7 linked regions of the Ovis aries genome follow. The protein of the gene in region 4 binds, or shares a complex with, the protein of the main gene of each other region. Links are inferred from orthologs where the notes say so. Each region holds a gene or a part of one and is shown on either strand. Other genes may lie near its edges. The genes, in order: EXOSC4, EXOSC6, EXOSC8, EXOSC3, EXOSC9, EXOSC2 and EXOSC1.

What was found.
Region 1: EXOSC3 (region 4) and EXOSC4 share a complex: the UniProt entries of both Homo sapiens proteins name them as parts of the RNA exosome core complex. The link is inferred for Ovis aries from reciprocal best matches to the Homo sapiens genes EXOSC3 and EXOSC4.
Region 2: EXOSC3 (region 4) and EXOSC6 share a complex: the UniProt entries of both Homo sapiens proteins name them as parts of the RNA exosome core complex. The link is inferred for Ovis aries from reciprocal best matches to the Homo sapiens genes EXOSC3 and EXOSC6.
Region 3: EXOSC3 (region 4) and EXOSC8 share a complex: the UniProt entries of both Homo sapiens proteins name them as parts of the RNA exosome core complex. The link is inferred for Ovis aries from reciprocal best matches to the Homo sapiens genes EXOSC3 and EXOSC8.
Region 5: EXOSC3 (region 4) and EXOSC9 share a complex: the UniProt entries of both Homo sapiens proteins name them as parts of the RNA exosome core complex. The link is inferred for Ovis aries from reciprocal best matches to the Homo sapiens genes EXOSC3 and EXOSC9.
Region 6: EXOSC3 (region 4) and EXOSC2 share a complex: the UniProt entries of both Homo sapiens proteins name them as parts of the RNA exosome core complex. The link is inferred for Ovis aries from reciprocal best matches to the Homo sapiens genes EXOSC3 and EXOSC2.
Region 7: EXOSC3 (region 4) and EXOSC1 share a complex: the UniProt entries of both Homo sapiens proteins name them as parts of the RNA exosome core complex. The link is inferred for Ovis aries from reciprocal best matches to the Homo sapiens genes EXOSC3 and EXOSC1.

Annotation. Positions count from the first base shown.
Region 1 is NC_056062.1:13,709,968-13,714,195, forward strand, and holds EXOSC4 (exosome complex component RRP41), read right to left. Parts: upstream 2,723-4,228; 5' UTR 2,664-2,722; coding exon 2,493-2,663; exon of another isoform or gene 1,545-2,492; coding exon 1,338-1,544; exon of another isoform or gene 1,315-1,337; intron 1,241-1,314; coding exon 881-1,240; 3' UTR 832-880; downstream 1-831. UniProt on the Homo sapiens protein: Non-catalytic component of the RNA exosome complex which has 3'->5' exoribonuclease activity and participates in a multitude of cellular RNA processing and degradation events.
Region 2 is NC_056067.1:1,305,433-1,308,792, forward strand, and holds EXOSC6 (exosome complex component MTR3), read left to right. Parts: upstream 1-1,280; 5' UTR 1,281-1,323; coding exon 1,324-2,142; 3' UTR 2,143-2,560; downstream 2,561-3,360. UniProt on the Homo sapiens protein: Non-catalytic component of the RNA exosome complex which has 3'->5' exoribonuclease activity and participates in a multitude of cellular RNA processing and degradation events.
Region 3 is NC_056063.1:24,979,797-24,984,223, forward strand, and holds the start of EXOSC8 (exosome complex component RRP43), read right to left. Parts: upstream 2,940-4,427; 5' UTR 2,915-2,939; coding exon 2,898-2,914; intron 1,604-2,897; coding exon 1,567-1,603; intron 1,335-1,566; coding exon 1,271-1,334; intron 286-1,270; coding exon 212-285; intron 1-211. Other genes in the region: ALG5 (dolichyl-phosphate beta-glucosyltransferase), read left to right, coding at 4,307-4,372. UniProt on the Homo sapiens protein: Non-catalytic component of the RNA exosome complex which has 3'->5' exoribonuclease activity and participates in a multitude of cellular RNA processing and degradation events.
Region 4 is NC_056055.1:50,987,225-50,991,600, forward strand, and holds the start of EXOSC3 (exosome complex component RRP40), read left to right. Parts: upstream 1-1,255; 5' UTR 1,256-1,270; coding exon 1,271-1,594; intron 1,595-2,595; coding exon 2,596-2,745; intron 2,746-4,376. UniProt on the Homo sapiens protein: Non-catalytic component of the RNA exosome complex which has 3'->5' exoribonuclease activity and participates in a multitude of cellular RNA processing and degradation events.
Region 5 is NC_056059.1:3,769,081-3,773,727, reverse strand, and holds the start of EXOSC9 (exosome complex component RRP45), read left to right. Parts: upstream 1-1,830; 5' UTR 1,831-1,932; coding exon 1,933-1,998; intron 1,999-2,332; coding exon 2,333-2,427; intron 2,428-3,067; coding exon 3,068-3,187; intron 3,188-3,308; coding exon 3,309-3,411; intron 3,412-4,325; coding exon 4,326-4,463; intron 4,464-4,647. UniProt on the Homo sapiens protein: Non-catalytic component of the RNA exosome complex which has 3'->5' exoribonuclease activity and participates in a multitude of cellular RNA processing and degradation events.
Region 6 is NC_056056.1:5,933,400-5,938,052, reverse strand, and holds the start of EXOSC2 (exosome complex component RRP4), read left to right. Parts: upstream 1-1,498; 5' UTR 1,499-1,515; coding exon 1,516-1,637; intron 1,638-3,265; coding exon 3,266-3,367; intron 3,368-4,653. UniProt on the Homo sapiens protein: Non-catalytic component of the RNA exosome complex which has 3'->5' exoribonuclease activity and participates in a multitude of cellular RNA processing and degradation events.
Region 7 is NC_056075.1:18,489,706-18,494,229, reverse strand, and holds the start of EXOSC1 (exosome complex component CSL4), read left to right. Parts: upstream 1-1,670; 5' UTR 1,671-1,701; coding exon 1,702-1,732; intron 1,733-1,839; coding exon 1,840-1,955; intron 1,956-4,422; coding exon 4,423-4,497; intron 4,498-4,524. UniProt on the Homo sapiens protein: Non-catalytic component of the RNA exosome complex which has 3'->5' exoribonuclease activity and participates in a multitude of cellular RNA processing and degradation events.

The sequences.
Region 1 (4,228 bases), on a different chromosome or scaffold from region 4:
GTGGGTCCATTCCTATGGATGTCAATAACCAAAACCAGCCGAGTGGAATCAGGCATGTGTCCAGAACCAAGATCACTGGGGTCCGATGACCACAGGGAAGAAGGTGCATGAAACTACTGGCCAAGGGGTTTCAAAGGAGCTGGGGTGTGTTGAGTAGAAAGTGGGAAGCACCCCTGTCTGGGCCAGGAGGTGCCTGGGATATTAGAGAAGGAGCAGCCCCTTGGTTCAGGCTGCAGGGCCTGGTGGTGAGGGCTCAGTCAAGTCTGAGGTGGAAGAAGGGGGAGCCTGAAAGAGGAAGGTGCAGTGGTGGGGCAGCAGGCAGTGTCTGTCTTAGGGTCAGGACTGAGAAGACGCCAGGTGACATTATGTGTCTGTTGTACTTTTGGAGCCCAAGGGAAGTAGCAGGACAGGCCCAAAAGGCTTCTAGAGGGCAAGAGACCCTTCAGTCCCAGCCACAATCCAGAGGATGTGGGACACGGCCCCCACATGACCATAGTGAATACCCAAAGCCACCCCTCAGGACTTGTGCTCAGGACTCTGGATGTGTTGGGATGAGAATGACAGACTCCATGGTCGTGGGGCATGGCTCGTTATACCAGGCTGTGTCTCACTGCCCAGCAATCCCTTCTTGGCCCAGGCTGCTCACTTCATCCAGGGACATCCGCCTTCTTCAGGGTGCTCACCTGAAGCACCCTGATGAGCAGGGTGAGCAGCACTGAGGCTGCAAGGGGTGTGTAGTGCATGTCTTGGGGGCGGACCCTTAGTCATTGCTAGAGCCAGCACCAGGCCAGGATCCAAGGGCAAGGAAGTGCGGTGGGGAAGAGATAAAAGTACAGTGAAAGGTGCTTAGGTTTTATTCTGGGCTTGGGTGGCCCTGTGCTCAGTCCCCCAGCAAGACAGAGGCCTCTTGTACATGCTGCCGGACCACACGGTCCAGTACGGTATGTACATCCCGGGAAGCCCGGGCAGCGGCCTCTAGCACTTGCTCCAGGTGGTCCTCATGCAGTCTGGCATCCATCTCAAGCAGTGCAATCTGGCCTGAGGCTGGTAGCAAGGCCAGGGCCAGCTGGGGGCCCCCAGCTGCTTCCTCCACATGGCTGAGGTCTGCCAAAGCTGTTCCATCCACAAAGCCAGCTGAGCAGGCACACACAAAGTCCCGCATGGGTATCCCCGCGTCCAACACTGCCAGCGTGGCTGCATTCACACAAGCTGCGTAGGTCCCGCCGTCTGCCTGCAGCACCTGCAGGAACCCCCCAGTGGCATGAGTTTCAAGCTGCTGAACCCCAACTCCTCCTTTCTCTCTCCCCTCCACAGGCTGAGGGCTGCTGCCTGCTCACCTGCACATAGATGTCAATCTGGGAGCGTGGGTGCAGCTGTGTAAGGATGGCTGCCTCGAAGGTCTGACGCAGGTGCAGACCCATCTCACAGGACTTGCGGTCCCCGTGTGGCCGCCGCTTGCGCTCCCCTGTGCTGAAGGTTGCAGAACTGTACTGACAGTTCACCAGGGCCCGGTCAGGCAGGGCTCGTGCCCGGGAGCCTCTGATCTGGGGTAGGGTGGGGGAGAACACATGAGCCAGGCCCTTCCTCCCTCTACCTCCAACATCCCAACAAGCAACCACTTTACCTGCAAAACAACACAGCCCGAGGGAGGGCCATTGGGCCAGGCTCTAAGCCACCATCGTCCCTGGATCTCTCTCCTGACAGGCCTCCCTGTTTCCCCTCTTGACTCGTCCTCTCTCGACCCCATGCTTCCTTTGTATGAGAATCTGTTTACATATATCAAGTCTGATTCTACCTCCTCTGCACAATACATATACTGCTTACCTTATAAAGAGTTCCCATCACGCGTGAGATAAAAATCCTAAATCTTTTCCCTGTTTACAAAGGTCCTGGGTTCCTGCTTCCCTAGAAATCCCTCAGTCTCATTTGGAATTACCACCCTCTTCCCCATCACCAGTCTTTCTGCTCTGCAAGAGTGCCATGCTTACTTCTACCTCTCTGGCCTTAAGTCTCCAGCGCTGGAGTGGTGATAAACCCAAGCGGTTTTATTAACACTCTCTGTCTTCACGGAGTTTATGTTCCAGTGAGGAGACAAACAGTGAGAAATAAGTTAAACTGATGTCTGAGGAGGCGGGTGCGGGAAACCAGATAAGTGTGTGGATGTAAAGGAGGGAACTTGACTTGTAAAGGGTAGGTAAGGTGGTCTGGGGTGGGATGGGGTGAGGTGTCACCCAGAGGTGACGTCGGAGTGGAGCTGAGAGGTGAGGGAGCCAGTGAGAGCGGCCCTGGCGGTTTTAGGAGTAACAAAGCGGTGTAGCGAGCGCTGGAGAAAGGCAGGGACCGTCGTGCAAGACACTGTTAGGACTTTGGCCGCGGCCCCACAAGGCGGCGCGCGCCAGCCTCACCCCCGAGGCCTCTACTCAGCCAGGTAGCCCCTCACAGCCCGTAGTGGCCACCCCCGGAGGAAGCCCGGCTCGCGCGCGCCCACTCGCCTCGTGAGGCCCGTAGACCACCGCCAGCGCCTTGGTATTGCCCTGTTCGATGTAGGCCGAACCGTCGGCCTGCGCGAATACACCCATCCGCGCCTGGATCTTGCGCAGCTCCCCAGCGCGCCGCCCGTCCACTCGGTAGCCCTGGTCCGATAGGAGCTCCAGCCCAGCCATGCCGCCCGGGCGCTAGCCAGGCTTGAGCGCCCGGCAGAACTACACTTCCCGGTAGAATTGACTCCCCACTTCCGATTCCCCAGGACTACGGTTTCCGGGGCACCGACTCCGACTTCCGGTTCCGGACCCCTGCGATTCTCCCAGAGTTCCCGAGGGCACCACATCTCATTTCCGGTCCTTGCGGAACTGCGGCTGTGGGCCCGGGGAGGGACCCTTGCGGCCTTTTGGGGTACGCACTCGCGCCTGCAGGGCTGGAGGCATGCCGGACGTGGAGTCGCCGTGTCGTTTCTTCCCGGGTTGGTCATGGGGACGGCTCCCTCTACCATCCGGGCCTGCCCGCCCCGCGCCGCCGCCTCTCCCTCGGCCTCTCCACTGAGCCCCGCGCTTCCCGCGCCGCTGGCGCTCCTTTACTTCTGCTTGACGCTTGGTATCTCCCTCGAGGTTTGCGGGCGATAGCCGCCACTGCTGGTCTTAAGTTCTTCCGCGGTCATAAATGCAGGCCTTCTCCCAAGCTGAGATACACTCTCTGTTCGCAGTTGTTTTTTTTTTTTCTTTAAACCGTTTAGTTTTTACATTTGTCCGTTTAAAAAGCAGACACATTTATGTTGTACGTACACATGGTCAAATTTTTTAGTTTCAATTTTCCATGTTGCCTTGTTTCTCTGCACTCATCCCCCTATCTACTATAGCTTAAAAAATGGCTCCGTTTTTCTTCACACTCATAATTACATCCAGGTCACACACAGACACGTGTATATGCAGCTGTACATGTACAGCCATATAGTGGCCTTTGGAACTCTTATTTTTTAAAATGCGATTGTTTCATACACTTTTGCATTTAACTCAAAAATATAAAATCTGTCCAAGTAATCCTGTGGAACTCATAGTTTTTTGGTTGATACGAGTATCAAGTAATAAGTAGAATGTACCCAGCAACCACCCCATTGTGGGCAGTGGATGTGTGTCCCGGGGTTGAGTGAAGGCTGTGTGGGAGTTAGATTCTCCGTCCTTTCCCACCTGGAATAAATGTTAAAAGTTTTTTACATAATCCTTCCCTCTTCAGAGGGTTACTGCCATTCCTCTTGCATTTCGTGGCCTGATGTCAAATGCCCTGGAACAGCAGAGGGGCTCACAGGAGGGGGGATGAGATGTTTTCCTCCACAGCTGCCTCCTGTTTCCAGATACCATTTGCTTGGTGGTCAAGGTCACCATCAGGGAGCTCATTACCCTCCTCATTTGCATTATTCGGGCTTCTCTGGTGGCTCGGCTGGTAAAGAATCTACCTGCAGTGGAGGAGACCTGGGTTGGGAAGATCCCCTGGAGAAGGAAATGGCAACCCACTCCAGTCTTCTTGCTTGGAGAATCTTATGGACAGAGGAGACTGGCGGGCTATAGCCCATGGGGTTGTAAGAGTCAGACACAACTTTAGGGCATTATTCAGCCCCTCTGCAGTGCTTAGAAACCAGATCCCATGCTTCAGGTTTGAATAGGGAAGGATAAATCAGCAGGGCTGTGACACTGACTATAGGGAGGCGACATTCACTGGGGCTGAGGGCGGTGTGCAC
Region 2 (3,360 bases), on a different chromosome or scaffold from region 4:
CATCATCACACTTGTGTCTGTAGAGAGTTCTTTGCAGACTCAGTGCTATGGGCCTCAAGGGAAGAATCATTTTCTGCTGCAGAGAATAAAAAGGCCATGTGCAATACTTGACAGGATACCGCCACGTGATTCTTTTACTCCTCCTCCCTTCTCACCCTCCCTCCTGTGATAACTTGTGCTTCCCTGGGTGTCTGTAGACTAGTGGCTGTGGTTCCAACTGGTTTCTGGTTGCGGCCCTTGCTGAGTCCAGCCCCAGACCCCTGAACTTTGAGAATAATGGTGCCTGGATTTGCGTCAAAACATCTATGGGGATGGCTCACAGAATAGGGTGATGAAGATGGTCCCTGGGGTTGCTGGCAGCGGAGAGCGTCTTCGTTTTTGGTGCTTTTTACAGAAGAACATTCTCGTTGATAAGTCTCCTATGTCTTTTCCTCTCCTGATGTACAGGTTGGATGTGAGGTCAGAGACATTCCTTGGTATAGGAGGTTTTTAGGGAACATCAGTTGCCTCCTCCCAACACCCTTGACTGCCAGGTCATTCCAGGTTTCAGGACCTAACTTGGACGGTGAAGATGGAGACTGACCTGGTTCTGTCCATTTACCCCAGCCTGAAGACAGCTGGGTGTGGGAGCTGTAGTGTGTAGTATTTAGTTGTGCCCTCTCTGGCTGACTTCAAGTCCCCTGGGTACAGCAGGCTGGCCCTGAATCATTCTCAGCCCTGCTGACTTGGAGGGAGCAGAAAAGCAGGTTTGTGCTGAGAGAAGAAGCAGAGACCACCAGTCACAAGGCCTGGGGGTGAAGAAGAGGAGAAACAGGAAGGGTGCTGAGGCCCTGGCTGCAAAAAAGCAAGCCAGGTGAGGAGTGTGAGGGATACAAAGCTCACACAGTCCGCAGCGCGGGAGCGAGTTCCAAAAGCACTCCACAAGCTGTGCCAGCCAGGGCGCAGTACCAAAGGGCCCTCTTGGACAAGGCGGCGGGGGAACATGTATACGGTTGTGTCACTAGTGTAGGACCGATTACAGCTTCACAAGTGAGAGGAAGAAGACCCACGCGCTGGGCTTGCGCTGGCGTGAAGGCTAGAGGTCAGCGGGGCCGGTCTAGACCCCACTTCTGCAGGCCCGTCTGATCCACCCATGCACCCAGCTCTGGCCGTCCTCGCGGTGGCCCGGGGCTCCGCGACGCGCACCGTCCCCCTCCGGGGCGGCAGGGGGCGGTGTGGCGCCAGCCGCTCTCCCGCGCACCCTCGCGCGGCCGGGCAGGCGGGCGGAAGCGCCGGCGCGCGGGGCCCCGCTGACCCGCGGAGCCGGCCGGCAGCAGCGCCGCCATGCCCGGGGACCACCGCCGCATCCGCGGGCCCGAGGAGTCGCAGCCGCCGCAGCTGTACGCGGCCGACGAGGGCGAGGCGCCGGCCCCTCGCGACCCGGCACGGCTGCGGCCGGTGTACGCGCGCGCCGGGCTGCTGAGCCAGGCCAAGGGCTCGGCCTACCTGGAGGCGGGCGGCACCAAGGTGCTGTGCGCCGTGTCGGGCCCGCGCCCGGCCGAGGGCGGTGAGCGCGGCGGCGGCCCGGCCGGGGCGGGCGGCGAGGCCCCCGCGGCGCTGCGCGGCCGCCTGCTCTGCGACTTCCGCCGCGCGCCCTTCTCGGGCCGCCGGCGCCGCGCCCCACCGGGCGGCGGCGAGGAGCGCGAGCTGGCGCTGGCGCTGCAGGAGGCGCTCGAGCCGGCCGTGCGCCTGGGCCGCTACCCGCGCGCGCAGCTGGAGGTGTCGGCGCTGCTGCTGGAGGACGGCGGCTCGGCGCTGGCCGCCGCGCTCACAGCCGCCGCGCTCGCCCTGGCCGACGCGGGCGTCGAGATGTACGACCTGGTGGTGGGCTGCGGCCTGAGCCGCGCGCCGGCGCCCGCGCCCGCCTGGCTGCTGGACCCCACGCTGCTGGAGGAGGAGCGCGCCGCCGCCGGCCTCACCGTGGCGCTCATGCCGGTGCTCAACCAGGTGGCTGGGCTGCTGGGCAGCGGGGAGGGCGGCCCGACCGAGAGCTGGGCGGAGGCCGTGCGCCTGGGGCTCGAGGGCTGCCAGCGCCTCTACCCCGTTCTCCAGCAGTGCTTGGTGCGGGCCGCCCGCCGGAGGGGTGCCGCTGCGCCCCTCTGAGCCAGAGACCCGAGCAACGACGGACGCCAAGGACCGACCCGCAGCTGCCGCCACAAGGACCCGCGCCGTCGGCCTGCAGATGCGTGCGCCGAGCTGAGAACCGGGAGCACCGCGGAGGATCTGCGGAGGCGTGCTCAGAATAGCCGTGTTGGAGCGATTCTTTCCAGACTGCTTCGTTAAAGAAACTTTTCTAATTGAGTTGACTCCCAGCCACGATCCAGTTGAAGAAACCTGCCAGCGCATCTTGACTCCTAAGTTGGAAAGGACTTCCGCTGTACTCATCGGGAAAATGATGCCTATGCAGGCCAGCCGGGGGCTCCCTCCTGAATAACTGGGCTGCTTTTGAGAGCGGGGACAAGGAGGCTGTGCCTTCCACGTATATCTGAACCCAAACAAAAACTCTTTTTATAATCTGAAACATTCTGTTGTTTTTGGTACCGACTTTAATGAATAAGGCTCTTCTGAGCTGGGGACTGTGTTCTCAGGGCTTGGGACAAGCATTATCTTTAATGTGTCCTGGGGTTGCTGGTCCACTAGTGAGAGGGCACTTGAACTGCCAGGAGTGAGAGTTTCTGGATGCTGGAGATGCCATTCTGTAGGGCAGAGCGGGTCTGTCTGACCAGGAGGGTGGGCTCTGCCCTGTGTGGCTCCTGAGCCCTGCAGGTTTGTGCTCAGGTCTGAGTTGGCGAAAGGGCCGCCTGGGGTCCTCCCTGCACCAGCTTGGTGTAACCTGAGCTTGTGTGTCTTAGGGGCCTGCTCAGCTGTAGGAAAGGCTGGCTCAGGCAGCTGAGAGACCAGAATGAGGCCTGGGGACCACACCAAGAATCCCTGACTAGGGGGAAAAATACAAATTTTATTTGACCCCAGTGACATAATATATATTTCCAAATCAGATCTGAAATACAGAATCACAGCAGAAAGAAACAAGATAGAAACAAAGTAAAAATGGTAACCCTGTGGACGCTCAAACAGGACTGGGGGCTTTGAGAGGGAAGAGAGCTGACGCTGCTCCGGGGGGGTGGGCATCCAGCTCCGCTTGCAGGAGCGGGCCTCAGCTCTATGAGATGGTGTGCTGGTGCCGGGCAGCTGCGGGCCGCCCCCTTCCCTGCAGCATCTAGACTGCCATCTGGACAAAGCTAAAACCAGCACTAGGGCCGGGTGCCTGGCTGGTCTGGCTGAGCCACGCCTCCATGTCCCTGGCTCCAGAATGGGTGGCGT
Region 3 (4,427 bases), on a different chromosome or scaffold from region 4:
AGATTTGCAAATGTTCACAAATTATAATTAAGTCATTAAACTTGGGTTGTATTATCTAAAACTCAAAGGTTAAAACTTGGGAAATGAAAACAAATACTAAAACACCTGACTGCCCAATCAACAGTAGAATTATAGATGTATATTATAATCTACTAAGTATATGAAGCTAACTTAGTAACTCAAATCTTGGTAGTAAGTATATTAAACCTACCGCTTTAATTCCACAAATTACTGTAGTATTTCCAAGCTTCACTAAAGAAGAACCATCTGCGGTACCAATCGAACCTGAAAAGTATTTTTTTAAAATGAAAATGTTTTCTTCTTTTATGTATGATTTTTATCTCTAAATATCTAAGATGTCCGTGAAAATTTACTCCTTGCTTGAGTCTTGGTAAAATTATAGTTGACCCTTAAACAACATGGGCTTGAACTATACAGGTCCACTTATACAAAGATTATTTTCAATACATACTTCCACAGTACTACGTGATCCACAGTTGGTTGAATCTAAGGATGCTGAACCTTGGATACGGAGTGCCAATCCATAACGGTAAGATTATACTTGGATTTTCAACTCTGTGAAGGTCAGTGCTCCTAACCCCCTCACTGTTCAAGGGTCAACCGAATTGTTTTAGGAATTATTCATTTTCTTGATTTTGAGTGAATCATTTGTCATTTAATCACAGGGCTGTTATTAAAATTTCTTGACAAAAATCACTGTAATCCCTTAGACCTGGTAGAATTTGTCTAAAACACCGTTTAAATGGCTCAGAGGCTAAAACCTGGGAATGTCATATGGGTAAAATTGGAAAATTCCATGTTTGGCAACAGAAGATTTAATAATGTAAGATATAGAAGGAAACCAAACCTTACAAGTTTTGAAGGGGGAAAACACTTCAGAGTTACTTTAAAATTTAATATGAACATAAAAACTGAAAGGATGTGCTTAGCTGCTCAGTCGTATGTGACTCTTTTGTGACCCCATGAACTGTAGCCTGCCAGGTTCCTCTGTCTATGGGATTTTCCAGGCAAGAATACTGCAGTGGGTTGCTATTTCCTTCCCCTGGAGATCTTCCCCACCCAAGGATCAAACCTGTCTCCTGCATTGCAGGTAGATTCTTGATGCACCAAGACATTTGGGAAGCCCACTAATGAGAGGAGAGTGAGTTAAAAAAAACTCTACAAATAAAAAGTTGCTATTAAGAAAAAAAATTCTATTTTCAGAACTGAAGCAACTTCAACATTCTTTTAGAACTCAAAGTACTCTCACCTACGTTGACAGTTGTGGTTCTGAATTCACCAAGTTCTCTGCCATCGGGACGGCAATTCTCTTTCTAAGTAAATATATGAAAGTAGATTACAGCTACATGTATATCTTACACAGACCAAGGAAAACACACTGAACCTCATTAATTCAAATAAATTAATCTGTATTACTTTAAAATTGTCTTTTAAAAACTGAAGTATACTTAGAACATTAGGTGAATAACATGATTAATACTTGTATTTATGAAAAAAGCATATGATACCATTATCAAAGGGCATCACATAATCACCTTTACTTACCAGAAATCTCCTGTAATACTCCAGAGGTTCCACAGTTCTGAAAGACATGAGAAAAATGAGATAAATTATAAATCAATATAAATCCAGAAACACAACAATCTTAATAGTGGGGTGATGGAGCAGAAATCTCCAAAATTTGTAACTAAGTTTCTGTTATGAATTCTAGTTTATGTTGCCACATGTTGCTAATTATAAAAAGTAGCTACTTTTGCAATAACAATCACACTCGAAGACTGATTTTAATTCTGCTTTAAACAAGTATAAGGATCGAGACCAAAACCCTAGGCCTCTTTAAAAAGAGAATGAATCCAGGTGTGCATCACTCATACTTTGAAGCAGGAATACTTCGTTAGTAGGAAAAAAAAAAAAATTACGCATTTATTTTCACTACCCCGACTTAAATTTAGCATATTCTTCGATTACAAGCATAGGCAATAAACCACTATAATATTAGCCGTACCTGCGACTTTAACAACCACAGATTAAGATGTTTTCGTTTTTACTTTATAGTTGCCTAAGGTCGGTAAAGCGTATGCCCGCAATGCGGGAGACCCAGGTTCGATTCCTGGGTCGGGAAGATCCCCTGGAGAAGGAAATGGCAATCCACTCCAGCGCTCTTGCCTGGAAAATCCCATGGATGGAGGAGCCTGACAGGCTACAGTCCATGGGACCCGCAAAGAGTCGGACACGACTGAGCGACCTGACTTTATGGTAAGTGTAAGACGTATCGTTACTTCGAATTTCAGGAGTTACTTTAGACTTCCCACTAGGCCTTATCTAAGAAAGTTAATTTCAAAACAGATATTTCACTGTGTCAAAAACCCGGAGTTTATACAAATACATGGTCGTTTCAATATAACTGGTTTCCTTTGGAATCCTATTTATTGCATCCATTTAAAACTCGACTCAGAACGAAAAGCTATAGCCTTCCCCAGAGAGCAGCACCGAAAACGCTTAAGGAAAACCTTTCTAACGAGGCAGAATGCTTTTACACATAAACTACTGGGCAGAGAAAGCAGGGCGCCCTGAGGTTTTGAAGCAACGCTTTCTACAAGATTACAAGTGTCTCTCCTGTGCAGCAAAGTCCACTACACACAAAGCCTAGCGCTCGCAGCGGGTACCTGCTCAACACAGTACTTCCTATCACTGGGGAGAAGATGCGCCCTTTCCCTTCACTACGACCACCTTCAGTTCTCCCGCCCAACGTCTCCTTCTGCAGTGGAAACAAATGGGAACCAGGTGGGGTGGCCTCCCGATGAGAAAATCCCAAGGGTAGGGAAGCCGCCGACCGCCAGGCTACGAACTCGCGCCCGCCAGCCTACCGCACTCACTTGAACCCAGCCGCCATCTTCCGCCCGCCGATCTGCGCCTGCGCCCGCGCCCGCGCCTGCGTATCACCACCCCTCCGGCCCGCGCTGCTGTTTCGCTTCAGCACTTTCAACACTGATTCTGCTACCTGATATGTAGAAGGCAGGGTTGTATGGACCAGAGTAGAGGTAGAAGAGGTGAGGGTGGTTTCCCGCATGGCTTCGCTTCGACCACCCCTAGCCAGTCGCCCCTTTAGGTTTTCTTGACCTTGACGTTTTTGGCGAATCGGCTTTTACGAAAGTTATGAGTGTTTGTTTAGAAACAGTTTGATAGTTCAAGCGTGCGTGCTTAGTCTCTTCTGTAGAATCAGACTTTTCGCGACCCGATGGACTATAACCCACCAGCCTCTTCTGTCCTTGGAATTCTCCAGGCAAGAATACTAAACTGCGAAGATCTTCCCAAACCAGGAGTGGAACCCATGTCTCCTGCGTCTTCTGCATTGAAGGCGGATTCTTTATCGCTGAACCACCAAGGAAGCCCACCATTCAAAAGTTTCAGAGAAAACCGACGGTATAGCAAAAAATCAAGTGTTGAGCGTGGAGCATTATTCCAGTGTTTCCGCGTTCTTTCCCCCTCCTCCTTAGGCTGAGCCCTGGGCTTGCCTTCTTCCAGGTAAAAGCCTCCTGCTAGAGCACCGAAAATTTAAAAATTCTGTGCGCTGGTTATCCACATCAGGTTACATTACGCAGCTGCCAAGAGTGGGCTCCAAAGAAACAACTTTCGTTGTAGACTGTGTCGTGGCTCAAAACCTCCACTCCACCTCCTTCCTAGAAAGGGTTGCTGATAAAACGCAGGACATCCAATTCAATTTGAATGTCAGGTGAACAAAGAGTACACGCAAAATTGTTCATGTTGTTAGTTGTTACCAGAAGCTGGGGGAGAACTGGGAAAGGTTTAGCAAGAGGCGGTAGTGATGGTTGCAGGAAGCTGTGAGTGCAGTCAATGTCCCTGTAGTAGACACATAAACTGGTTAAAATGGGAAATTTGATCAGTTTTTCAAAGTTAATATAACAAAAAGCTCTTAAATGGGCGAACTTTGAGTGTGTGTTATACTTTAATAGTGCTGTTGAAAACCGATCCGTTGCTATCTGAAATTCAATTTAAGTGGACATCCGTTTATTTCTCCTTGCTGATTTTGACAACCCTACTGCGTTTGAACAGAGCCGCTCGCACACAACATAGTCTCGTCACGCGGTGGCGCTGTGGGCAGCGCGGGTCCCCGGGCGTGACCGGGTCTGGCCGCGAGGTGGCGCTGTGGGCGGCGGGCGCCCAGCTGGCATGGCCTCTCTGCGGGCTGGAGGCGGGGCTGCGCGGCCGCATTTCCGCGTGTGTGTAAACGCGGGATAGGGCGGCTGGCGGCCCGGCATGGAGGATGGCTCCGGTCTTGCTGCAGCTGGCGGTGCTCGGCGTGGCGCTGGCCGCCGCGGCCCTGATTCTGGTGAGGAGAGGGGTTGGGGACAGACGCGGACCTGGGCTCACTGCGCTCCTGGAGG
Region 4 (4,376 bases):
ATTTCAAATCCTGAAAGATGATGCTGTGAAAGTGCTACACTCAATATGCCAGCAAATTTGGAAAACTCAGCAGTGGCCACAGGACTAGAAAAGGTCAGTGTTCATTCCAATCCCAAAGAAAGGCAATGCCAAAGAATGCTCCAACTACCACACAATTGCACTCATCTCACATGCTAGTAACGTAATGCTCAAAATTCTCCAAGCCAGGCTTTAGCAATATTTGAACCGTGAACTTCCTGATGTTCAAGCTAGTTTTAGAAAAGGCAGAGGAACCAGAGATCAAATTGCCAACATCTCCTGGATCATGGAAAAAGCAAGAGAGTTCCAGAAAAACATCTATTTCTGCTTTATTGACTATGCCAAAGCCTTTGACTGTGTGGATCACAATAAACTGTGGGAAATTCTGAAAGAGATGGGAATACCAGACCACCTGGTATTTCAAGTGAGAGCCTTGAAAGTCAGAAGGGGAGACCCAATGTGCTATTGATTTGCAATTCAGCTGCTCTTCACCTGGGCAACTAAAGCGTGCTCCAAGGAAAACAGCAGCAAAGATTTAACTGCAATTTCTGATTTTCCCAGGCCGTGGAGGGGAAGCTTAGTTATATGGAAATATGCAAGTGATATGTAAATATTTTCGGGGGAGGTGGGAAGGAAACGCAAACCAAAATGTCAACATTCATTTTCATTCATTCATTCACCAAGTATTATTTATTTCGTGCCAGGACCTGCGCTCGAAGAAAAAAAGTGAGAACTATCTGACAGCCTAGCATAAAGACAAACAGGGAGCAAAACTAATGCTTTTCATTTTCTTTCTATTCTTCTCTGGTCTTCCACAACGTGAATAGATAAAAGTTTCCTATGCAAAAGAAAATACTGAATACTCTTCCTGGTAAAAGATTAGCGGTCCCTCAGCACGTAGAGTCAGAAGACAGAGCCAACTCCCGAAGGCCTGCTCAGTTCCCAGGGTTTCCACGAAATGAAAGATGCTGGGGTCTCATACCCCACTGTGCATCTCAGACACCGGGGGAGGAGGCTCCGCAACTGACTCAAGCTAGCGTTTCTCCTGCGGACCTGCGAACAGACTGCTGGATGGGCGGCCAGCTAAAGACACGATCATAGCCATCTTGAGGGAACCCGCTAATCCAGAGCGATCGGACTTTGAAAACAGGTTCAAATCCCACAAGCCTGTGCTGCCGGAAACGGAAAGTCTTGGGCGAGCTGGCGATTGGACGCAGAGCCGGAAGCCGGAAACTGTATAGTGACGCCCGCGATGGCTGAAGTAGCGGGTGTTGCAGCGGAGTCCCTGGCTGGCTGCAGGGCGCGGGCAGCGCGGACGGTGCTAGATCAAGTGGTGCTGCCGGGCGAAGAGCTGCTGCTGCCAGATCAGGAGGACGGAGAAGGCTCAGGAGGTGCAGGGGAGCGACCGCTGCGCCTAAACGCCGCAGCGCGCTCCCGGGGACGCGTCGTGTGCGGCCCAGGCTTGCGGCGCTGCGGCGACCGACTGCTGGTCACCAAGTGCGGCCGGCTCCGTCACAAGGAACCCGGCAGTGGCAGCGGTGGTGGCGTTTACTGGGTGGACTCGCAGCAGAAGCGGGTAAGCTGGGACTCTGGAGGGGTTGTCCGGCTGGGAGAAGGCTGAGGATACTCTTCGGAAGCACGGAAGGGGCCCTGGAGCCTTCCTCTGATAAGGCTAGAGAAGAGCCGCTGGAGTCTTTGTGCTTACTTCTACAACTCCTTTAGAGGGACCGTGAACAACTGGAACGTGGCCCTAGATGGGCGACCAGGCGAGAAAAGACCCTGGGGAATATAAGGGCACATAAGAGGATGAAGACTGAGGCGTGGTCATTGTCTTCAAAACCTTATAGGTCAGGGAGCAGCAGACTTGCCTTTCGGTGTTCCAAAGACTCAAGTTCAATGAGTGGATGTCACAGGGAGTTGTTTCTCTTAGAATAAATAAGAAATTTCACATAGGAAGAAACTAACAACAGAATGACCTTGCTTGGTTGTGGGGACCCTTGTATCACTGCTGCTGCTAAGTGGCTTCAGTCGTGTCCGACTCTGTGCGACCCCAAAGACGGCAGCCTACCAGGCTCCTCCGTCCCTGGGATTCTCCTAGCAAGAATACTGGAGTGGGTTGCCATTTCCTTCTCCAATGCATGAAAGTGAAAGTGAAGTCGCTTAGTCGTGTCCGACTTCTAGGGATCCCAGGGACTGCAGGCTACCAGGTTCCTCCGTCCATGAGATTTTCCAGGCAAGACTACTGGAGTGGGTTGCTATTGCCTTCTCCCCCTGTATCACTGAACTCTTGCAAACCAACTCTAGGGAGTTTCTGATAAGAATTCAGAAGAGATAAGATGATACACTTAAATGAACACTGTTAGAAGCTGGAAATCTGAGAGTTTATCATGTGATTGGTTTTCTTTTAAGGGAGAGTGACATATGATCAGGTTTGTTGTAAGGTTTGTATTGATTTGTAAACATGGATTTTATAATATTTTCTAAATATTTAAATTACAAACATAACAACCGCTGAGGACTTGTTGAAGATGTCTGAAAAATGATTGTCATGTATGGTGGTTCTCTCATTTTTTGTAGTATGTCCCGGTGAAAGGAGACCATGTGATTGGCATAGTGACAGCTAAGTCTGGAGACATATTCAAGGTTGATGTTGGAGGGAGTGAGCCAGCTTCCCTGTCTTACTTGGCATTTGAAGGTGCCACTAAAAGAAACAGACCTAATGTGCAGGTAACAACAGGACCTTTGGTTTCAAAAGTAGCAAATATCCATTTCCTAAACAGTCATATATCCAGAAGGCTACCGGAACTGTCTTATTTTCCTAGTGCTATTGGGTGATCTTGGAGCATCTTTGTAATCACTCCAGGCTTCAAGAGTTCTTTCAGATGCTCCACCTCTGGGACCAAAGCCACATACTTAGTTTACATTTGCTATGTTGGGGGATATTTTCATCTCTGCTGAAAGGTTATATCTGTTATTTGTTATATCCATATACACTGGACAAGAAGTAAGCCAGAGGCTTGGGGAGGAAGGAACAGTGGTGGAAATTGCCATACACTCATCCGTCTTTTCTGGATGTGGGTCCCGGGACTTGTATCTCACAGCTTCAGTTACATCACTGTTTCCCAACAGTCCCATTTTGCAGCTGACAGTAGTCGTCTTGCTACTTCAAGTTTCAGCTTGGGCTTTTCAGGTAGCATGGCCACTCTTCCTGTCCATCCAAGCCAGAAATTTGGAGGTTTCTTTGCCTTTTCTCACTCATCCTTCATGTTGAGTCTCTCTGATTTGCCACATGTGCACCCCTTTATCTCCACTTTGCAAGTTCAGGCCTTGGCTGTCTCTTGATCGGACTTTAAGTCAGTGACCTCCTTAGTAACATCCTGCCTGTACACCTCTGCCCCTTCATCCAGGCTTTTAAGAGCTGACAGCCTCTCATACCCCTTTCTGCAAAAGAAAAAGTTCTTCAAAGCCTACATGTTACTATTTCCAGAGGTCTTCTCTCATCCATAATTATATCTCCATGTGGCCCTGCCTGAATTACACTGAACTATTTAAGAGCACCACTGAATTCATAATCTCTGCTCCTGTACCTTTGTTTATGCTGTTCCCTCTGTCTGGATTGCTTTATCCTCTTCTCAACCTGTGGAACACATTCTGGTCTTTCAAGACCCAGGCTGAGCACCACTAACCCTCTGTAAAAACACCCCTAATTTTCAGTCATTTTTCTTACTGGATTCAGCTGTGAATGAAGTTTGTTTACATATATATCTCCACTGCCCTCTGAAAGTAAATGCTCTAAAAGGCAGAGAATGTTCTTTCTAGTTCCTGAGTCACCAGCAGTTGTTGGTACTTAATGAAACAAGTTTACTCTTCATTTCCATAGTTGGTGTCATTTTGAAGTTCAACTTTTGAGGCTTTTAAAGTAATTATTGTATGGAGAACAGTCAATGAATTACTAATATTCTGTTTTGCTTTGAATAATTTGCATGCCAGGGGTTGTTTCTTCTGTAATCCCCTAAAGCAGTGCTGTGCAATAAAACTTTGTGGTGATGCTAGTGTTTTACATGCACTGAGTATTATGGGAGCCACTAAGTCACACATGGCTATTGAGCATTTCAAATATGGCTAATGCAACTGAAAAATTGCATTTTAAGTACATCGTTTTAATTAAATGTAAGTTTAAACAACTACATGTGAGTAGTGGCTACTGTACTTGACAGTGTAACCCCAGTGGGTACCCTCTGGCTTTGCTGAGGCTCCCAGTCTGGGGATTTTCTGTGAAGGGAAGGGTGAGGGTACAGGCTTTAATTTGCCTTCTTTTAGGACGCAACTCCAGCGGGACTGTGAGAATCCTGGAGTGT
Region 5 (4,647 bases), on a different chromosome or scaffold from region 4:
GCCTATTACTAAAGCAAATAAAACAACAATAATATGTGAATACTATTATTCAGGGCCCAATTCCAAGCCAGGCCCTGTTCTAAGCATTTGACATGTGCTAACCTGTTTTTCTCATAATCAATAAATTTATCATTGCTATTTTGCAGATGAATAAAAGTGAAATATATAGGCTACATTGGTGAAGGTCACAGAACAGTTAAAGGGCAGAGTCAGAATCTGGGCTCAGTGTGGAATTAATTCCTGCTTTTAACTACAGACAGTCCTGGACTACAATGGTTCCACTTTCCATTTTTCCATGGCTCGAAAGCAATATGTAGAAACCATACTTACAAGTTTTCATCTTTCCCCAGGCAATGGATATGTAGTCAGATACTCTATGGTCATGTCAAATACTGGTAGCAACCACAGCTCCCTTAGGCATCCAGGAGTCCACCTGAAATGCAAGAAATCCTGGGTTTGATTCTTGGGTCAGGAAAATCCCCTGGAAAACGAAATGGCAACCCACTCGTTTTCTTGCCTGGGAAATCCCACAGACACATGAGTTTGGCTGGCTACTGTCCATGGGGTCACAGGAGTTGGACACGACTTAGTGGCTAAACCACCAACAAACAACTGATACAACCGTTTTGTACCCATAAATCTATGTTGCTTTTCACATTCAGGACAATATTCAGTACATTGCACGTAATATTTAACACTTTATTATAAAGTAGTCTTTGTCTTGGATGACTTTGCACAACTGTAGGCTAATGAAGGTGTTCTGAGCAAGTTTAAGCCAGGCTGGGCTAACCCATGACATTCTTAGGTTAGGTGTATTAATACATTTTCGACTTAACATGGCTTTATCTGCACATAACTCTACCCTAAGTGGAGGAAGATCTGTACTTCTTGATTCTGTCTCTCCCCAAAAGCCAAGTGGTTGGCAGACGAACACACTAAAAGTCCTCTACGCCTGCTATAAAAGGAGGTTAATACCTTAAAATAACTGGGGAGGCTGTAAGAAATAAACAGAAAATTTTGTTTCAGTCAGTGGTAGGTATAACACGATCAGTTACAAACTGCGAATATTCTCAATTCTTGTCAGCTTTTCAAGGCTTACGAGGTTACACGGTCAGCCGGTAGTACCCTAATTCACCATCTCAACTTTCTTCCTTCCCCTACTCTTCACTTAACGGCGTTTCTCCAATTCTAGTGTTTCTCCAATGAATGTGTAGCAGCTTTTTAGTAGCCACATCTCAACCTCCTCATCTGTCAAGCAGCAATAATACCGTCTAGTCTACTCCGCTAGAACTGAAGATAGAAGTGTGAGAGTGCTCTACTGATATTAATTTCTATCAGTGGTGGTTTTGTCGGGGTCCTTTTCTCGCTTGCTGCTGCTGCTGCTGCTAAGTCGCTTCAGTCGTGTCCGACTCTGTGCGACCCAATGGACGGCAGCTCACCAGGCTCCCTCATCCTTAGGATTCTCCAGGCAAAAACACTGGAGTGGGTTGCCATTTCCTTCTCCAACGCATGAAAGTGAGAAGTGAAAGTGAAGTCGCTCAGTCGCGTCCGACTCTTCGTGACCCCATGGACAGCAGCCCACCAGGCTCCTCCGTCCATGGGATTTTCCAGGCAAGAGTACTGGAGTGGGTTGCCACTGCTTTCTCCGCCTATTCTCCTTACTTTGTAATAAAAGAAACAGATCTTTCCGGTTTTCTCTGAGTTTTGCCTCCTTTTGCTTCACAGCAGGGCGAATTCAGTCAGGAAGGCGTAACTTTGCTTTGAGCTTGCGCACTAGCGACGCCCCGCTAGCCTCCGCTTTCTCAGCTTCAGCCACCGCGCTTTGATGACGTCAATACTCTGCGCCGCGGTGCGAGCTGGGCGCGCGTGAAGAGTTTCGAGTTCTGTTTTCCCTGCGAATTCCAGTACTTGGTGGTCTCCTGATTTGACAGTATGAAGGAAACGCCACTGTCAAACTGCGAGCGCCGCTTTCTACTCCGCGCCATTGAAGAGAAGAAGGTAAACTAGGAATTAGCGCCGCGTCAGCGGTTGGGTTGCAGGCGGCTCGCAGCCTTGCGGCCTGGATGCTTGGACTTAGCTCTCGTAGGCCCGGGGAGCCCCAGGAGTAGCCGCCAGTGCTTCCCCAAGCCCCCAGTATTTATTTGGCTCAGGTGGGGTCTTTTCAAGGCTCGGGTCATGCCAGCGACTGTCAGTACCCGGGCACCTAGTTTCCACTCTCCCATGTGGAGTAGTTAGTATCACACTTACCTCTAAGTTCTTAGCCCGGGGCCTGTCTAGCAAAGAGTGATAGATATTTGTATTAGGAATAAACGAATGAATGTTCTGCTTACAGCGGCTGGATGGCAGACAAACCTATGATTATAGGAACATCAAGATTTCATTTGGAACAGATTATGGGTGCTGCATTGTGGAGCTTGGGAAAACAAGGTAACAATTCAAATTAGGTATAAGCTCAATAGAAATTTAAAAGAACTTTATTGGCTCAGTTTACAAAGCATAAGAAGTCTGAACAGTACTTTGTTTAGCTGCCCCAAATAAGTATATTTTCTTTAATGTAGGACTTTAGTTTTATAACTACACTTTATATTTTTAATCATGAATATATTTTCTGTCAACACGAGCCACACATAGTTGTTTCTGATCTCTGTGAATCATATATGCAGCCAGCAGTGATTGCACTGAATTTGTTCCTTAGACATTTGTTGTCATTGCGAAGGGCCTACTTTTCTTCTTTTCCTGAGTGATGTGAGAGTTTGATTTTTAATGTTCATTTGGAAGTTGTGGAGATATTGGTCAGATAATGTTGGTGAGCTATGCCATATGAAAACTTAAGGTGTCTCAAGTTGCATGTCCGATTGTATCACTAAATATTTGTGAAAAGAGGAGTAATGGTCATTGACGCTTAAAAATCTGTGGAATAGTAAATATTGTAATAAATGTTTTTGTGTATGCCAATATATGTTTTGTTTCTGTATATATTCTACTACTGTACTTTGTGTGTAACTTCAATCATAGGGATATATCATACTGAACATTTAGTTAACAGATTTGCACTTTATTTTTGCAGAGTTCTTGGACAAGTTTCCTGTGAACTTGTTTCTCCAAAACTCAATAGGGCAACAGAAGGTATTCTTTTTTTTAACCTTGAACTCTCGCAGATGGCTGCCCCAGCTTTTGAACCTGGCAGGTATTTAAATCTATTTTTTTTAAAAAACTGCTTTAACCAGAGGAAAGCCTAACAGGGATGAGCTATTGTTTTAATGCCTGGTGTTACATTTCTTGACATTAGCCCATTCCTGTTTTCACAGGCAGTCAGATCTCTTGGTGAAGTTGAATCGCCTCTTGGAAAGATGTCTAAGAAATTCGAAGTGTATAGACACTGAATCTCTGTGTGTTGTTGCTGGTGAAAAGGTGGGCAGTATACCCAAAATTCTTAATCTTGGGATAAGTGCTGTTGATTTGTGGATCTCTCTACCTATACTTTCATTCCCAGAGCTTCAGTTAATTCAGTTTTATTCTGGTTCACTTCAGATGTTACGGAGTGCTGTCTATAGATCTTCCTATAGAATCTCTCTTTGGAGGGACAAAAAACATTGGTGAAAATAGTAGCTTAGATTTGCATACAAATTCTTTATTCAAAGAACTTGTGGTTTTTACATATTCTCATGTCTCTTTCTTATGTTATAAGTGAGTTGATGGAAGCAGGTAATAGTCTCCTTTTTTATGGATGAAGAACTAAAGAACTGATTAAATCCTTCATTTGGATAAGTTCATTGACCTACACAGGGCCTCATAGTGAGTCACTGGTAGTCTGACATTGGAAATATTACTGTCAACATATTGTGCTGCTTAATAATATTAAAACTTTATTCTTGATTAGGGTATTTTAACCATCTTTTGGCTTCAGAGAAGTCACTTTAATCTTTCCACATCACATACTTGAATATTATACTTCCTTTACTTGTAAGGTTATCATAAGTATTGTCCAGGAACCTAAGTGTTTGAGTTTTTTAAGTTCGGAGACAATAAAAATACATTAGTCTTAGAAGTTAGGGAAATCTTAGTACTAAACATAAGAGTGGTTCTGTTCAGTTGGAGTATATATTTTACTGTTGTCAGATGACTCATAGAAAGGTGAACTATTGGTATTTCAGGTGTTGGTCTGGATTAATATTTTTCTAAATATGTTTTTACTGGTACATTGGAAGGAATAAAGGCATGTTTTAACAGCAAGAGAAAAATCTGCACACAGTGTTATCTTTCCTTACAAATAAAGTGTGCTTGTGACCAGTTAGGATTTATTTTTGTTTTAAATTCACATTTAGGTTTGGCAAATACGCGTGGACCTACATTTATTAAATCATGATGGAAATATTATCGATGCTGCCAGCATTGCTGCAATTGTAGCCTTATGTCACTTCCGAAGGCCTGATGTCTCTGTTCAAGGAGATGAAGTAACATTGGTAAGCTCCCGTGATGTGAGCCAGGCTCCTTCTTAAGAATGAATGACGTGCAGGACAACTTGTTTTAAATGAAGTTTTATTGTAAATGGCAGTTAGATATGTTCTAAAATTTGTTCACAAGGCAAAAACTACATGTGCTCATAATTGCCCTTGAAATCTCTTAAATCGCCTATACAGAAGTTTT
Region 6 (4,653 bases), on a different chromosome or scaffold from region 4:
GGAGATAGTGATGGACAGGGAGGCTTGGCATGCTGAAGTCCATGGGGTCACAAAGAGTCAGACATGACTGAGCGACTGAACTGAACTGAACTGAGCCCCTTCTCCAGGCAAGGAGGAGGGCAAGTGTCTGGCTGTCCACTTACTGATGACCTGTGAGCAATTAGAATCTATATAACTGACTACCTTACAGGGTTGGCTTTCTAGACAAATGTAGTTGTGAGCCACGCTTAGGTGAAAGAAATGCTATCCTTTTGAAGATTTACCAGGCTATTGGTCTGATGGGTCTTCAGGAGAAAACAGACTTAATTTACTGGTCTCAGTGAGTGGTGCTGATGCAAGTTATTTTATTTCATCCTATTTAGAATCCCTGTACTGGGCTGTGCTGTGCTAAGTCACTTTAGTCTTGCCTGACTCTGCGACTCCCGACTCTGAGACTCCACAGACCATAGCCCACCAGGCCCCTCTGTCCATGGGATTCTCCAGGCAAGAATACTGAAGTGGGTTGCCGTACCCTCCTCCAGGGGATCTTTCCGACCCAGGGATTGAACTCGTGTCTCTTATGTTTCCTGCATTGGCAGGCAGGTTCTTTACCACTAGCGCTACCTGGGAAGCCTGCATGAAGAATTATCACCTCCAATTCCCTGAGGTTGAAACTAAGTCTGTTGCGAATGCTATAAAGCATGCAGGGCCAAGGGTGAGGGAGAGGGTAGCACCTGGGGAGAGGGACAAGCGAAATACTCCTGACGCCTAGATAAAACCACATATCCTTCCATCTGTTCATCACTGAACCCTTAGGACAGCTCCTGGCTCATTTCACTGTGTGAGTAAATGTACGCGAAAATCTTTGTATTGTGTCCATTTGTCCTCCCTGACAAAACATACCCGCTTGGCAAGATTTAAATGTGTTCTTAGACGGCTTCTTGCTTTTTCCAAAAGAAATACCAGGGAAATCAGCTCGCTTAAGAAAGAATGGAAACAGCACCTGCAGCACTGTTTGGGGGTGTAGATGATGGTTGGTGCTGAACTAGCACTCACGAAGTGACAGTAATGTAGAATACAGGGGCTACTAGTAACAGTACGAAAAGAGACTCTTTCCTCTGTCCAAATAGTGTTTTCTCCTCTTGATCCTCCTGGTCAATCGCATACCAAAGAAGAGAGATTTCAGCAGCTTTGAATTGGAAGGAAACTCAGAGGCCCACTTCACAATTATTTATAACCCTGGAAAACAGTAAGTGAGATGAGCACAAGAGTTTTGCTGAAAAGTCGAACGCTATGCAACCTGAGATTTTATTATTTGACAAGAGCAGCCTTGCCAATAGTAAAAATGGCAACTTGACTCCTTCCTTCCCTTCGTGTTAACCTAATGGTTGCCAGTAGCCAACATGGAGGCCAGACCGTGAGTTCCCGTTGGCGGCTGTTCTGAGGCCCCGCCCCTATGAGCGACGGCTGGAAATTGCGGAGACGGAAAGCGTGACTCCGAGTGGGGCTGCGCCTGCGCGAGTTATTGGCGCCAAGATGGCGTTGGAGATGAGGCTTCCCGTCGCTCGGAAGCCTCTTAGCGAGAGCCTGGGCCGCGAGAGTAAAAAGCACCTAGTGGTGCCAGGGGACACGATCACCACGGACACAGGCTTCATGCGGTACGTGGGGTTGTGGGGACACTGGGCGGCAGGGGCGGCTGCATTGCTCTCTTTCCGCATCAAACCTGGGCCTGTGTTCTGCATCTAAGTGCTCGCGGTACCCGGGGCGCATCTGGGAGCATCTCAGTTGCCTCGTTTTCGAGGCTTCGGACTTCCTACTTCCTGCTTCTTGTATGTCCCCGTCTGTAGCTGCCTCAGCTCCCCCGAAACCTTCCTGTCCCGATCACTGGTAGCTGTGACTCGTGGGTCCTGTGCCTCAGGCCCCGATTCTGAGGCCTTCCTCGTTGAACCTGCAGCTAGGGCCTCCTCACAGGTTTCGGCGGAAGGGATGGTGGGCGTTTTTGACTTCTTCCACTTAGCCCTCAGCATTCCGTCTCCTAGCCAGGGGCACGGTTTTGGAACGAGCCATTGCTTGGGCTTAAAGAAAGTGAAGTCGCTCAGTCGTGTCCGACTCTTTGCGACCGCATGGACTGTAGCCTACCGGGCTCCTCCGTCAATGGTATTTTCCAGGCAAGAATACTGGAGTGGGTTGCCATTTTGGGCTTAGGGGGCATGCAAATATATTATGTTACATGCACCAGAATAGGTAACTTTGAGTCTGAGGGCAGGCTCCAGCTTAAGGGCAGCTGGGGTTCCGGTCCTGCTGCCGTCACAATATTAGCTGTATCACCTCTCCGAGGTCAGTTTCCTCGTCTGTAAAATAACTATTCCAGAGAATGGTGAGGATTCCATGAAAGTGAAAGTGTGGAAGAGTTAGTCCCTCAGTCATGTCCGACCCTTTACCACCCGGTGAACTGTAGCCCGCTAGATTCCTCTGTCCATAGAATTCTCCAGGCTAGAATACTGGAGTGGGTTGCATTCCCTTCTCCAGGGATCTTCACCACCCAGGGATCCAACCCAGGTCTCTGGCATTGCAGGCAGGTTCTTTACTGTCTGAGCCACCAGGGAAGGATTACATGAGGGGTAATGATTATGAAAAAAAGTAAGACTCACCATTCTATCACCATCACAGTGGTCAACACTACTCATACCTCAGGCAGCCTCTGCCCTCCCCCCATATGCATATGAGAGAGGTACAGCGTTTATTCCATTGCCCTTTAACCTCTTAGTTTGGGATTATTGGTTCCCAGGAAATCTTAAGATTCAGTCCTTTATTCATGCAGTCCATAAATATTATTTGTGGTTGGGGTATAAACTGAACAAAGAGGAAATCTCTGTCCTGGTGGACTTTATGTTCTGAGACAGACAGATGAGAAATAAGCACAACAAACAAGTTATTTAGAATATTTGCTGGTAAATGCAGTAGAAAAGAATAAAGAAGTGAGGCAGGGTAAGTGGAGCATAAGTTGGAAATATGGTGGGGATGGCAGCCGCAGGGCGGGTGACTATTACAAATGGGAGAGTTGAGGAAGGCCTGGTGGAAAAATGCCATTTGAGTCGACTTGAGTACAGTGCAAGAGATGGCCACGTAGGACTCTAAAGAAGGAGTGTTTAGGCAGAGGTGGCAGCCAGCAGAAAAGCCTGTCTTTGAGGCAGGAGGAATCAGATTTGAGGAACACATTGTTCTGGCTGCTAGAGGTCACCTCAAATATTACCCTGGTATCCTTTGTATCTTCCTGTTGCAACAGGGGCCATGGAACCTACATGGGGGAAGAGAAGCTCATTGCATCTGTGGCTGGCTCTGTGGAGAGAGTAAACAAGTTGATCTGTGTAAAAGCTTTGAAAACCAGGTGAGAGCAAAAGGTGTGTATTTTGTGGCATCTGAGTTGCACAGCCAGGTCTTTTCTGCCATGACACACCCCCTACCCCCAGCCCTGCCTGCCCTGTCGTTCTGTAGGGCTGGGATTTCGGGAACATGACTGGAGGAAGGGTAGAGATGACTGTAGGTAAGGGTAGGCTTCAAAGGTTTCCCTACGATATCTGACCTCTTCAAACTTGGGTTCCCTCTCCTGCAAAATGAGACCTTGCCTGACCTCCTGGGTAGGATTTTCCTTGGAATTCACCGAAATAGTGTGTATAAAGTACTTTACACAGAGAGCCGTCTGCCTTGAGGGCTCAGTAAAGGTTAGCCCCAGAACATGAGCCAGTGGGGTTGGAACAGAGTGAGCAGGCGAGTAGTAGGAGCAGATGCAGAGAGGTGAGGTAGGCAGTCTGCATGCCCTGCAGCCACGATAAACGTTTCTGACTTCCACTCTGTGCGGTCTAGGAAGGCCCTGGAGCAGAAGGACCTGATCCGCCGCCCTCTGTTTTAATGGAGTCACTCTGGCTGCTGTTGGGGGCGGGGGTGGGGCAGGGTTAGGGAGCCAGATTCCTGCTCTGTTCTCATCATCTCGGTTGGTGGTGGCTTGGACTAAGGTGATAGCCATAGAAGTGGGGAATAGTGATCAGTTCTGCGTGTATTTCGTGTTCTGCGTGTATTTACTGTGAAAAGCTGTAGGATTTTGTATGTGGGCTTTTCTACACGTAGGACTATGTCTGTGAGAAGAGATCGTTTTATTTCTTCCTTTGGGGTGCTTTTTATTTTCTGCCTACATTGGTAAGGTAGAGGTCTTAGAATCTGCTGCTGGACCTGTCCTGGAGCAGGAGAGAGAGGGGAGGAGGGAGATACACACGGTTCCTCCAAAGACTCCAAGGACTGTGGCTTGAGCAACCGGAGGGGTGGAGTTGCTATTTCCTGGGCCGGTGACAGTTGGGAGAGGATCCATTTGCTATAGTGGAATTGAAGGGGCTGCTAGAAAGCTTTGTTTGAGGTTTCTAACTTACGCAGATTCCTGTTAGGCACGTAAGTGAAGGTGCTGGGTAGCCAGTGGTTGACTAGAGCTAGAGCCTGAATTCAGGGGAATGGTGGACTCATCGGTGGCATTTAAAGCCATCAACTTGGGTAAGCTCACCAAGTGAGTGTGGGCTGGAAAGAGAAGAGGCCCAAGGACTTAGCCTTCAGAGTGGAGGCTCTAATTCATCATTAGAGTTGGGAGGAGGAATTAGGAAAGGGATCCGAGACATGCAGCCAGTGGCT
Region 7 (4,524 bases), on a different chromosome or scaffold from region 4:
TGGAATCATTGCACTTCAGAGTTAGAAATCATTCTAGAAAACTATCCAACCAGTAATCAACACAAACATGTAAGCTGAAAGCTTGTAGGTACAGAGCTTAAGACCAGATTATGTAAAAGAAGTCTGAGACCAAGGCCCCCTTCCCTTATTTTACTTAATGAGGTTTAGGGGGGTATGGGAATGCCAGGGAAGAAATATGTAGTCCATGGGACCACAAGTGAACATAAGTTTTCATCTCAGGAAACTGAGATAAAGCAGAACTCAAAAAACTGTGTGTTGGGGGTGAAGGGTGGTGATGGAAGTGAACAGGGCAGGAAATAAGAGTTTCCCTATCACTCCAAACAGAGAAGGCAATGGCAACCCACTCCAGTACTCTTGCCTGGAAAATCCCATGGATGGAGGAGCCTGGTAGGCTGCAATCCATGGGGTAGCTAAGAGTCAGACAGACTGAGCAACTTTACTTTCACTTTTCACTTTCCTGCATGGGAGAAGGAAGCGGCAACCCACTCCAGTGTTCTTGCCTGGAGAATCCCAGGGACGCGGGAGCCTGCTAGGCTGCCGTCTATGGGGTCCCACAGAGTCAGACACGACTGAACCAACTTAGCAGCAGCAGCAGCATCACCCCCAACACAAGCCTTGAACACTCTGATCCCTCAGTCCTACCAACATAGTGACACGTGCCACCAGTTCAGAGGGGAGTGTAGGTCACAGCACTCTCCTCTCCCCAAGGCTCTCAGTCACCAACTCTTTCCCAAGGGGAAACTGGACATGGGGGCTATTAGGGGTGGGAGGACACACATAGATTCCAAAGACACCGAAGAGCAGAGGAAACAAAGTCGACATAACTCATTTGAACAAAGATGCTGTTTTCAGGGTGTTTACTGCCTGAAGCAGCAAGTGTCAATCATCAGTAAAAGCAACACTAATTCATGCAGACTTTCCTTCCAGACTAGCACGCTTCCGCAAGATTGGAGACTGCAGTTACAGAAACTGAGGAAACGTTTTATTTCTCAACAAAGAATGATAGACTGAAAGTAAAAAATAACTTGAGTACCCGTTCGGTCTCTATCTTGATTTTAGAGATACTGTACAATTCTAATCCTATCCCTGGGGATGAATTTCCAAATCTGTGAAATGGGCGAGTTGGCTGGGGTGACCTTCCAGCTCCACGCCTCAGGGCTGCCCGGAGGGTGTGTTCCGTCCGGTTCGAGGGCACGGCCGTGCAGAGCAGGAACTCGGGCTCACAAGGCCCGGGAACAGGGCCCGACCCTATTAAAAGCGACAGGACTGGGCAGAAAAGGCCGCAGCTTCGCTCTTACCTGCCGCTGGCCGATTCCTCAATCAGCCAAGTCGAACCCCGCAGCCTCCGCCGCAGCTCACTGCCACCCCCTCCAGCTCGGCGTCCACCGGCCCTGCTCAATCCAACCAACCATGGCCCACCGCCCACAGGTCCAGCCTGCAGACCCGGACCCACCGCCCGCCCATCCTTGTCCACAGGCGCAAGCGCGAGAGTTCCGAAGCCCCGCCCCCGAATTCGTCCCGATGCAACCTGGGAAATGGAGTTTACGTCTTCTGGAAGCGCTTCCGGAGATTACAGATAGAGCACACCAATTAGCGCGTTTCTTACTGCGTAACTGCACCTGGATATTGGCCAATGAGAGGTCGGCCTCATTTTCCTCGGGATTTGGAACAGTGGCAGTCATGGCGCCACCCGTGAGGTACTGCATCCCCGGTAAGTCAGCGGTATCTAGAGCAAATCGTGGGCAGAGACAGGGGCAAGAAGGCCAGACGACCAACAGCTTCAGCGGACCCGTGGCTGATGCAGCGTTTTTTCCGCAGGCGAACGTCTGTGTAACTTGGAGGAGGGCAGCCCGGGCAGCGGCACCTACACCCGGCACGGCTACATCTTTTCGTCGCTTGCTGGCTGCTTGACAAAGACCAGCGAGAACGGCGCGGTAAATGGGGCAGCTTCCCTTCTCTTCTGTCTCTTTGTCTTACGCTGCCTTTGATTTCACTGTCTTTAGGCAGGGTCCTACGAGCGCGTCTTTAGTGCCTGGTTTAGGAGAAGGAGTTAGTCTCTGAGTTTCTGACAGCTGGGATCCCCGCTGCTGGACACTTAGCCATCACAAATTAATTGTGTTGTCTGGCTTGGCTGTGTTGCTGACCCTCCGGGAAGCAAGCTGGGGAAAGAACGGAGGCGAGCTCAGCCGTGCTGTGAGCTGAATCCTGGCCGAATGTCGCCTGCTTCTCTGGCTTCATTTCGCTCCGCTACCCGCGCCTCACTCTTTGCAGAAGTCCTACTGTCTTTTTCAATATCGCCAGTGGACCACAGAGTCTTTGTACACACGCCGTCTGTCTGGAACACGCTCCTCTCTTCCTTAGCCCGATTAAATCCTACCTACTCAGCGGAAGAGAATCCACCACCATTGCAGGAGACGCGGGCTCGATCCCTGGGTCGGGAAGACCCAGGAGAAGGGAATGGCAACACATTTCAGTATTCTTGCCTGGAAAATCCCATGGACAGAGGAACCTGGCGGGTTACAGTTCATGGGGTCGCAAGAGTCGGACACGACTGAGCGACTAAACCACCACCACCCTTTAGATAACCTCACTAGTTATCACTTTCTCAGAGAAGCCCTATAGACACCACTAGTCAAAAAAGGGAGTTTTGTTTTTTGTTTGTTTTAACACTCACAAAGAACTGTTGGGGTCAGTTTGCCTGTTTGTTTTGCCAGGCAGCATGCAGGATCTTGGAAGGAACCCATCCCCCCTGCAGTGAAAGGTCAGAGTCTTAACCATGGGACCACCAGGGAGGTCCCAAGAGCTGTTACTCCCTTTCTAAGCACTTAGTTCAGCATGCAATTTAACACTCAGTTATAAGTTCCCCATTAGACCCTTCCACTACTATGCACGTAGCGCGAGGTAAATGCTCAGTAGATGTTTATTGAATGTATGAATAATATTATTCTCCCTGGTTCCAGAGGCTGATCCATTATTAGCTTGGGATCAGATAAGCAGTTCTTGGAGGAGCAGCTTAAAGACTGGAGGTGGTGGGGGGCATGGGTTTAGTCGCTAAGTCGTGTCTGACACTTGAGACCTCATGGACTGTAGCCCACCAGGCTCCTCTGTCTATAGGATTTTCCAGACAATAATACTGGAGTGGATTGCCATTTCCTGCTCCAGGGGATCTTCCCAACGCAGGAATTGAACCCAGGTCTCCTGCATTACAGGCAGATTCTTTACTGACTGAGCTATGAGGGAAGCCCAAATCTCTATACAGTCCGTGGAATTCTCCAGGCCAGAATACTGGAGTGGGTAGCCATTCCCTTCTCCAGGGGATCTTTCCAACCCAGGGATCGAACCCAGGTCTCTGACATTGCAGGCAGATTATTCTTTATCAGCTGAGCCACCAGGAACGCCCTAGAAACTGGGAGCATAGTAGAAAGAGGATTCAGTATTGACTAAACCTTAATTCTGCCTTAGGTAAGAAACTTTCACTCCCTTTATAGGTTCTTACCTATAAAATGAGAGACTTTTGTATTTGATCAATTTGGGGAATTTCCCTAGGATTTGAAAGTTTGTTCATTTTATAGCTGTGGGATGTGATAATGAGCCAAATATATGTGGTCTCTGCTATCAAGGGGTACAGATACAAACTAAGCAAATAAATGCTCAAATGAAGGTATACTTACACATATGATGGCTGCTCTGAAACAATATTACAGAGTACCATGAGAACATGTAATAGGTAAATCCAGCCTAGTCAGAAGTGATATTTAGTCTGAATCTAAAGGATAAATAAGAGTTGAGTGAGTGAGCAGAAAGAGCAGGTTGAAAAGAGATCCTGAGATGGGAAAAAATTTCGTGAATTGGTGAAACTGAAAAAAGACCAGGAGAGCTGAAGCATATTGAACAAGGGAAAGGTTAAGAAAAGATCGGGCTCAAAAATATCTTTCCTGCACCAATAGCCAGTACCATGCTCAAAGAGGAAACTCTACAAGTGTTAAATAGAAGTAAACAAGTATGGCCACTGTTATATAACATTTATTTGAAAATTCTAGCCTGTCCAATAAAATGACAAACCAAAAGAAAGATGTAACTTTGGAGGAAAGAGTTAAATTATCCATGATTACAGGCAATGTAGTTGTATGTGGAAAAACTCTTAAGAAAATCACAAAAAAACTCAGAACTCATCTGAAGTGGTAAGATTATATCTTCTTACACCTTTCTTTCTGTGGCCCCTTGGCCCTCCTGTATCCTAAAATTTCTAAGGCTTTCTGCTCTGGGCTACAAATGAATCTGTTGTCCACCTGCCCATGTGACGTCTACTGTGGCCCAAGGTTTCCCATTTTACTGTCAAGTCTCAAATACCTTTATCCAAGGCTTAGCCAGAATATTCATGTTTTATTTTTCTCTCTGCAGCTTCCTGTCATATCTGTGATGAGAGAAACGGAGTCCCAATTACTGCCAGATGTAGGAGCTATTGTAACCTGCAAGGTAAGTTGGTCCTAACCTCCCTGCTTA